2 linked regions of the Stegostoma tigrinum genome follow. The protein of the gene in region 1 interacts with the protein of each later gene in a biochemical or structural test. Links are inferred from orthologs where the notes say so. Each region holds a gene or a part of one and is shown on either strand. Other genes may lie near its edges.

What was found.
Region 2: of the proteins of stub1 (region 1) and bag1, one has a biochemical effect on the other in vitro, tested with the Homo sapiens proteins (3 studies listed by BioGRID, with this or other methods). The link is inferred for Stegostoma tigrinum from reciprocal best matches to the Homo sapiens genes STUB1 and BAG1.

What each region holds. Positions count from the first base shown.
Region 1 is NC_081376.1:48,039,380-48,043,132, reverse strand, and holds the start of stub1 (E3 ubiquitin-protein ligase CHIP), read left to right. Parts: upstream 1-1,607; 5' UTR 1,608-1,987; coding exon 1,988-2,101; intron 2,102-3,753. Other genes in the region: uncharacterized protein zgc:112496, read right to left, coding at 119-261. UniProt on the Homo sapiens protein: E3 ubiquitin-protein ligase which targets misfolded chaperone substrates towards proteasomal degradation.
Region 2 is NC_081355.1:88,368,544-88,372,296, forward strand, and holds the start of bag1 (BAG family molecular chaperone regulator 1), read left to right. Parts: upstream 1-1,217; 5' UTR 1,218-1,292; coding exon 1,293-1,329; intron 1,330-1,357; exon of another isoform or gene 1,358-1,508; intron 1,509-2,041; coding exon 2,042-2,170; intron 2,171-3,753. UniProt on the Homo sapiens protein: Co-chaperone for HSP70 and HSC70 chaperone proteins. Acts as a nucleotide-exchange factor (NEF) promoting the release of ADP from the HSP70 and HSC70 proteins thereby triggering client/substrate protein release.

The DNA of each region.
Region 1 (3,753 bases):
GAACTCAAATAAACGTTACAATATGAGTTGTCTCTAGTCAACCCTCCACTTGCCCTTCCCCAAAAGTAATTCATGAGCTGTTGTCTTTTAAATTAGGGAAGAAAGCTAAACAACTCACCATTTATCCAGTGCAGTCAGTTTGCCTGTTTTCTTCCCTTTGGATGCCATTGCCTTGGCTTCAACCACATCCCCATAGAGAGCAAAAATGGACCTCCATACGGTAGGATTCTTGCAGTTAAACAATATTTCATGTCCGGTCATGTTACTTTATTCATTAAGCAGTTTCAACCTGCAAATAAAAATGACATTTATAACTGCACAAATGTTGTTGCACTAATCATTTTTGAAACACAAACCTTAGGGATGTACAAATCAGAAGCAGTAGGTCACTGAGTGCCTTGAGTCCATAGAACATTCAATATGATTTGATCATTCCACATACCCACCTCCCCAAGACAACATTTCACCACCAAGTGGGAAGGAATGATCCAGTGGTGTTATCACTTGACTGTTAATCTAGGGAAACCCAAGTAAGGTCCCTAACCCTAACCCTAACCTCTCTGATGAAGGGTCTAGGCCCGAAACGTCAGCTTTTGTGCTCCTGAGATGCTGCTTGGCCTGCTGTGTTCATCCAGCCTCACATTTTATTATCTAAGGTCCTGGGGACCTGGGTTTGATTCCTAGCAATGCAGACTTTTAGAACTTGAATTCAATAAATATCTGGAATTATGAGTCTAATGTTGACCATGAATCCACTGTCAATTGTTGTGGGAAAACCCATCTGATTTGCTAATGCACTTTAGGGAAGGAGATTTCCATCCTTTTCTGGTCTAGACTACATGTGACTCCAAATCCACAGTAATCTGGTTGACTCCTAGCTGCCCTCTGAGCAATTAAGGGTGGACAATAAATGCCCACATCCCATAATGATTTAAAGAAAACAATCAATATTCAGGGACTCTACTGCCACGGTTTTTTTGGCAGAGTTCCAAAGACCCGCTGTGAAAAAGAAATCGTAGAATTGTAAACAGCTTGAGGAAAAGGCCCTTCAGCCCATCATAACACTGCTAGTCATCAGACAACCATCCATTCGTTCATTCTAATCCCATTTTCCCGCACTTGGTCCTTAGCCGTCTAGATTTTTTTTTTATCTGAACTTGTTCACAGACGTTATTAGGCACCTCCGGAGCAGGTGGGGCTCGAAGCCAGGACTTCTGGCCCAGAGGTGGGGACACACCACCCGCACCAATAAAGGTTCCTGTGTGCTCCAACGTTTCAAATGTTCATCCCAAAACGTCTTCAACGTGCTGAGGGTTCCTGATTCTTATCATCCTCCTCAGGCAGTCAATCAATCACAGTCGCCACTCTCTGGGTTAGTTAATATTTACCCCGACTTTATAAGTTAATGGTATCAATCCTGGTCACACAGCGGCGGAGGGATGGAGCGGTTATGGGGAGGAAAGGAAGATTTCCATTATCAAGATGGCGGCGGTCCTGCTTCACGGGGGCGGCTACCGTCGCGTCCTGAATCGCTCACTCGGCCGTAGCGGCGCCAGGAGATGAGTTCAGCGGACGCGGCGGCGGACGACACGGGCGCCCGCCGCGCCGGGAGATGCCGTCACCGGGCGCGCTCACGTCGGCGGCGGATGACGCCGTTGTGCGCGGCCGGTTGCGTGCGGTTTGTACACAAACAGCGGGCGCCGCTCCTCGGGCCGATTCCTCCTCGCCCGGTGTGTCCCGCCTCTGAGCGCCTGAGGCCGGCCTCATTCCCCCCGGAGGTTCCTCATATCAGCGCAGCCGCCCCTCCCCCGACCACTGGGCCTAGGCCTAGGACTCCCCACACGCTCCCTCACAGCCTGGGGACTGTCCTACACCCTCAGGCCTTCCAGCAGCTGCGGGGAAGCCGGGTTTTACTTCACCCCCTCTCTCTCTTTTCCCCCCTGTGTCCTGCTTTCACCCGGGGTGCGGGGGGAGGTAAAGCTGCAGCATGTCCGGAAGCCCCGAGAAGAGCCTGACTGCTCAGGAGCTGAAGGAGCAAGGAAACCGCCTGTTCCTCAGCAGAAAGTATCAGGAAGCCGCGGCCTCCTACAGCAAGGCTATTGTGAGTATCTCGGCCGGTGCCGGGGAGAGGCCACGGAACAAAACCTCTTCACCCCCCGAGCTCATGAAATGCCCCTCATTCATTATGCTTTGTCACTCCTGCTTTATAATTTTCGAATGCCAAACGCCAGAACGAAAGGGTTCAGGTGACCCTTCAGGATGAGCAGTCATGCCCTGGGTCTGCTTCTAAGATGCTGCTTGGCCTGCTGTGTCCATCCAGCTTTACACTTTGTTATCTCAGGGTCTGGTTATTCGGTGCAGCTATATGACTCAACGCCGACGGCTCAAAATCCAGCAGATATAAGCGTTTAATTCTGTGCGTTTGTATGCCTAGAGGGATTACCTGAATCAGAAAGTAGATGACTATTTGAAAATACGTCTATGAACTTGTTGCATCAATTCGTAGGACTTGTGTATACAAGACTGTCTGTGTCTAAGTGATGAATCTTGGAATCTGTGTGATCAGAAATTACCTAAAGTTGTTCCTGGCTGTTTATAATGCTGTTGAAAGCATTATTAGATCACAGTATTGTAACAGGCTCTTACTTCTGTATGTGTCTTTTTACACTCAGCCATTTTGATATTGTGGTATTGGTATAAAATGCAAAGCTCTGAGGAGGAATCAGTGTTTGGAAAAGTATGTACTGTAGATAGGTCATATAACTGGGTAACTGTTTAGTAGATGGAGTACAAGGTGGAAAAACGTGTTGTTTGATGGGAAGAATAGAAAAGCAGTATGTTATTTAAATGGAGAGAGACTATAGAATGGTGTCGTACAAAGAGACCTGGGTGCCCTTGGACATGATTAACAAAAGTTGGCATGTGGATAATTAAGGTTTCAAATAGGATGTTGGAATTTATTGCAAGGGGCTGAAGTATAAAATGTCTAGCTGTTCCTGCATAGGACATATGTGGTACCGCAGTTAAGTATGAATGCACTTTTGATCTCTGTTTTAGAATCCCTACAGTGTGGAAACAGGCCATTTGGCAAAACAAGTCTACAGAACCCCTCCGAACAACATCCCACCCAGACCCATTCCCCTAATTTCCCACATCTAACACACCTAACCTAAACATCCCTGAACACTATGGGCAATTTAGCATGGCCAATCCATCTAACCTGCACAACTTTGGACTGTGGGAGGAAACCTGGAGGAAACCCACGCAGACTCGGGGAGAATGTGCAAACTCCACACGCAGCCGTCAGAGGGTAAAATCGAACCTGGGCCCCTGGTGCTGTAAGACTGCAGTGCTAGCCACTGTGCTGCCCCTTTTGCCAGGAATGTGCTTGCAAATTGTGAGCAGTTTAGAGAAGCTTCTCTAATTTGATTCCTGGAATGAAGGGCTTGTTTTGTGAGGTAAGATAGAGCAGGTTGGCTCCTGTACCCACTTGAATTTAAGAAGGTGAAAGGTGATTTTCTCGATTTACATTCAGAAGTGGCTTTTCAGGTTAGATACTAAGAGGGTGTTTTTTTCCCTCATACGGGTGACTAGAACTTGGGGCAGAGTTTCAGAATCAGATGTGTGTCATTCAAGATAGAAAATAATTTACATTTCTAAGGGTTATTAATCCCCGGAATTGTCTACCACAGTGGAGCAGTGGAAACTGTTATTAAATATAGTTAAGCTGGACAGTTGAGCTGGACAGATTTT
Region 2 (3,753 bases), on another chromosome or scaffold:
ATAGAACTGATAACATAGTTCCGTCGATATTTTGGCAAGAGGAAAGGTTTTCTTTGTTGAATAACATCACAATTTTTATTCTTATATAACGTGATTTTAAGCACACATCTCCATGGCATAAAACTAGATGCATAAAATTGAGCTTTTCCCTGATAACTTTACACAAGGAATTGGTATGTAGAACTTGTAGAGGGACAGGACAAAGGGATTTATGGGTGCGGTTAAATATGTTAATTTCTTGAACATTAGGGCACATGGAATCAAAGTAAGTCATTAAGAAGAGGGATTGTTCTTATTGCAGAACAATGCAGCCTCAACTTCAGATAAAATTTTATTATGAAGTGGTAAGTAACCAGAAAAATTCAAACAAGAATCTAGAGGTGGCAAACATGATTACATGAACAAGGCTTTCAGCACTAAAGGCGGACAGTATTGAAAGTGTGTGCTGTTCTTGATGGTTAAAATGTAGGGGGCCCTTTTGTGGTGTCCCTACCCCCTGGACCCAGGAGGCCTGGGTTCAAGTCCCATCTGCTCGAGAGGTGTGTAACAACATCTCTTAACAGATAGATTAGAAAAATAGGTTAAATAAGAAAGAAAAATGTAGGTCTTTGCCTCCCCTTCAGGCAAGATAAGACACAATTGTTTAGTAATGTTTTAGTCCATCGAAATAATAACTGACTGGGGAGATATTATTATTTAATGGTTTTAATTGTATGTTAAAACAATCAAATGAAATGTATAAATACAATTCCTATCTTTACCCTTTTCATCTTTAATTTGTAATGCAGTCAAAGCATTTCTGGTCATTTTATGAGAATGTATAAAGATTTAGTGTGTGACAAACTGCTTAAATGTATGTTTTTGATAACTAATTTTGTTTCTGTTGATATCACTGCTATCTTGTTAGAGACCCTGTCTACCTACTAGCGATACTCAAAAGATGAAAGTATCTGGTGGGAAGAGACTCAGTCCTCCTCAAAATCTCCTACTCAGATTTAAGAAAGTGCAAGAGTGCAATGCGGGTGCTGGATGCAATCGTTGGTTCGGCTAACACTTTGAATTAGTGGATCCACCAACTATAGTTCTTGCTATCTCCGAACACTTTATCTGTATTTGAGATTTATTCAAATGCAGATCATCAGATGTTGTTCCCCTCACAAAGATGACACAATTTCCCGATTTGCACCGGTTGTGCCCCGCACAATGATGGCGTCCCAACCTGGTCTCCTCCACGTCCGCGACCCGGCATCCGCTGCGGAGCGGAAGTTAAACAGGCGCTTTTTGGAGGAGACATGTCCGGCGATACGGTTGCACTAACCCTGATGCACGGTAATGGCCGGTGACTCGGTTCTGCTTCCTCTGTCAGAAGGGGTAGCGAAGGAGCCTTGTGCAGGGTCCGGTTGATGGAGGGAGCGGGTAATCTATGAGCACCAGGAGCTGCAGAGCCCGGGCAAGCTCTGTCTGTGTCTGCACACTCAGCCTGTCTGCATTCACTGTTAATTAGCAAAGTGAGTTGGCTTCAGTCATCCTGCAGCCCAGCCCAGCCGTTCATCTACAGTATACCTGCCATCTCAGTGATCGAGGGGCAGAGGAATCTCTGATACATCTCTTCATGGACTATAAAACACTGCCTTATACTGTGATGGAGACAGATTCAATCGGGAATGATATAATTATCTGAAGAAGAAAATAAATGGTGGGGTTTCATGGAAAGGGCTGGGAGTGGAACAAATTTGCTGCTGCAGAGTTATGGACGTACAGGCCTGAACGGTCTCTTGTAATTTCTCTGAATATGGGAATATAATTCTGCATTTTTATAGCACGTGAGACATTGTGGCATAAAACTATGGGAGGTTTAAATGTGGATAAGAAACAGTCTGAATCCAAAGGCCTACACCTCATTGTGTATGCTGTATGCAACAATTAAATGTAATGCAAATTATATGCAAATAGATTAATTTCATCTGTTTATTAGGATACTGCAGAGTGCCTTTTCAGAAGCTGGAATATGTTTACTGTTGTATTTATATTTCATTCTTAGGTAGTTCAAAGCACAAGATTGAAATTTCTGCTGTACAGGAAGGATGTGAACCTACATTGCAGGACATGGCAACTGTTATTGCTCAAGTTACTGGAGTACCCCAGCAACTGCAGAAACTAATCTTTAAAGGTAATCATGACACATTGGAAAGATGGGCAGTGCATGAAATAATTTATCATCCACGTTGTGACTATCTAATGGTCTTGTGATACAAAAGTTCCACAGATTTGACACATTAGATAATTTTTTGCATTAGTACAATTTGGTATACTCTCAAGTCAAAAGCTTTTAGCAGTCTAGCCAGTTTGTAACCTTGGTTTGATATTTGATCTGGACATGAACTTCTGATCGTGCAGTTGCACATCATTGATAGGATTGGCATTTATTGCCCTTTTCTAATTGCACTCAAGCAGAAAGTGGTGTGTGATCTTCTTGAAATGTTACTGTCCATTTGGCATGGACCCCACTCCAGTGCTGTTGGCAAAGGAACTCCAGGATTTTCACTTGTGACCATGAAAGAACAGCAATATGGTTCCAAGTCGGGATGGTGTCTCAGGTGAAGTTCCCATGTATCTGCTGCCATTTCCTCTGAGGTGGTACAGGTCACCTGTTTGTATGGTGCTTCTGAAGGAGGCTTGGCAGGCTGTGACAGTTTTTTTTTGTAGATTGTATACACTACTGCTGCTGTGCTCTGGTGGAGGGACTGTTATTGGAGCCTCAGACATCCAGGCAACTGCAAATTAATCAGTCAAGACTCCAAACTTATTTTTAGATAGCTAGGCTATGGTGAGTTTGGAAGTAAATTACCTCAGATTTCCCAGCCTTTGACTTGCGTTTGCATTTATTGCTGCTGGCCCACTTCAGTTTCTGTATGTGTCAGTAAAGTGATTGTGTCTGTGCCTGAGTGAGTCGTAGACCAAGAGTACTTGTTGTTCTTTTTGTAGTAGCAATGTTCACGGATAAGCAAAAAAATGGCAGGGCTTCTTCAACTTTGATGTGGGAACTCCAGGATGATGCTCATATCCTGGATAACCATTTATGCTGCAGGTGTCATTAGTTGTAGCAGCTTAAATTCTGGGTTTCAGAGCTACAATGTGATCATGCTGCAGCTAGAAGTTGTGTAGGGAGAGAGTGAATAGGTGACCACTAAGTAATCAAAAAGGAACAGGCAGATAGTACAGTTTTCAACTAATATCTAATTCTGGAATCTAATATGGCAGATGGCTCTTGCAGCATTCTCCAGATGAGTGGAGGCTTAGCTGCACAGGGTGGTATAAAGACAGAAAAAGCCAAGTGATAGATGATTTGATAGGGGAATAGAAAAATGTTTCTGAACCACAAGTGTGACAGTGTGTTGCTTCTTTGGTGCTGTAATGAAGGATGTCACTAAGTAATTGTACAGCACCCTGAAGGGGGAGGATGAACAGCCAATAGCCAGACTCCATGCTGGAACCAATGACATGAGTCGTCCTACAGCCTGAGCATAGGGAACTGGGTAGAAAATTAGTAAGTAGGAACGCAAAACGTAATAATTGTACGTTACTCCCAGTGCTATCTGTAAATGAGTACAGAACTAGGATAGGACAGATGAATGCATACCTGTAAAGGTGGTGCATAAGGAAGGGCTTTAGATTCTTGGAATGTTGTAATTAGCTCTGAGAAACAAGGAAATTGTAAAGCTGGATTATTTGCACCTGAACAGAGCCGGGACT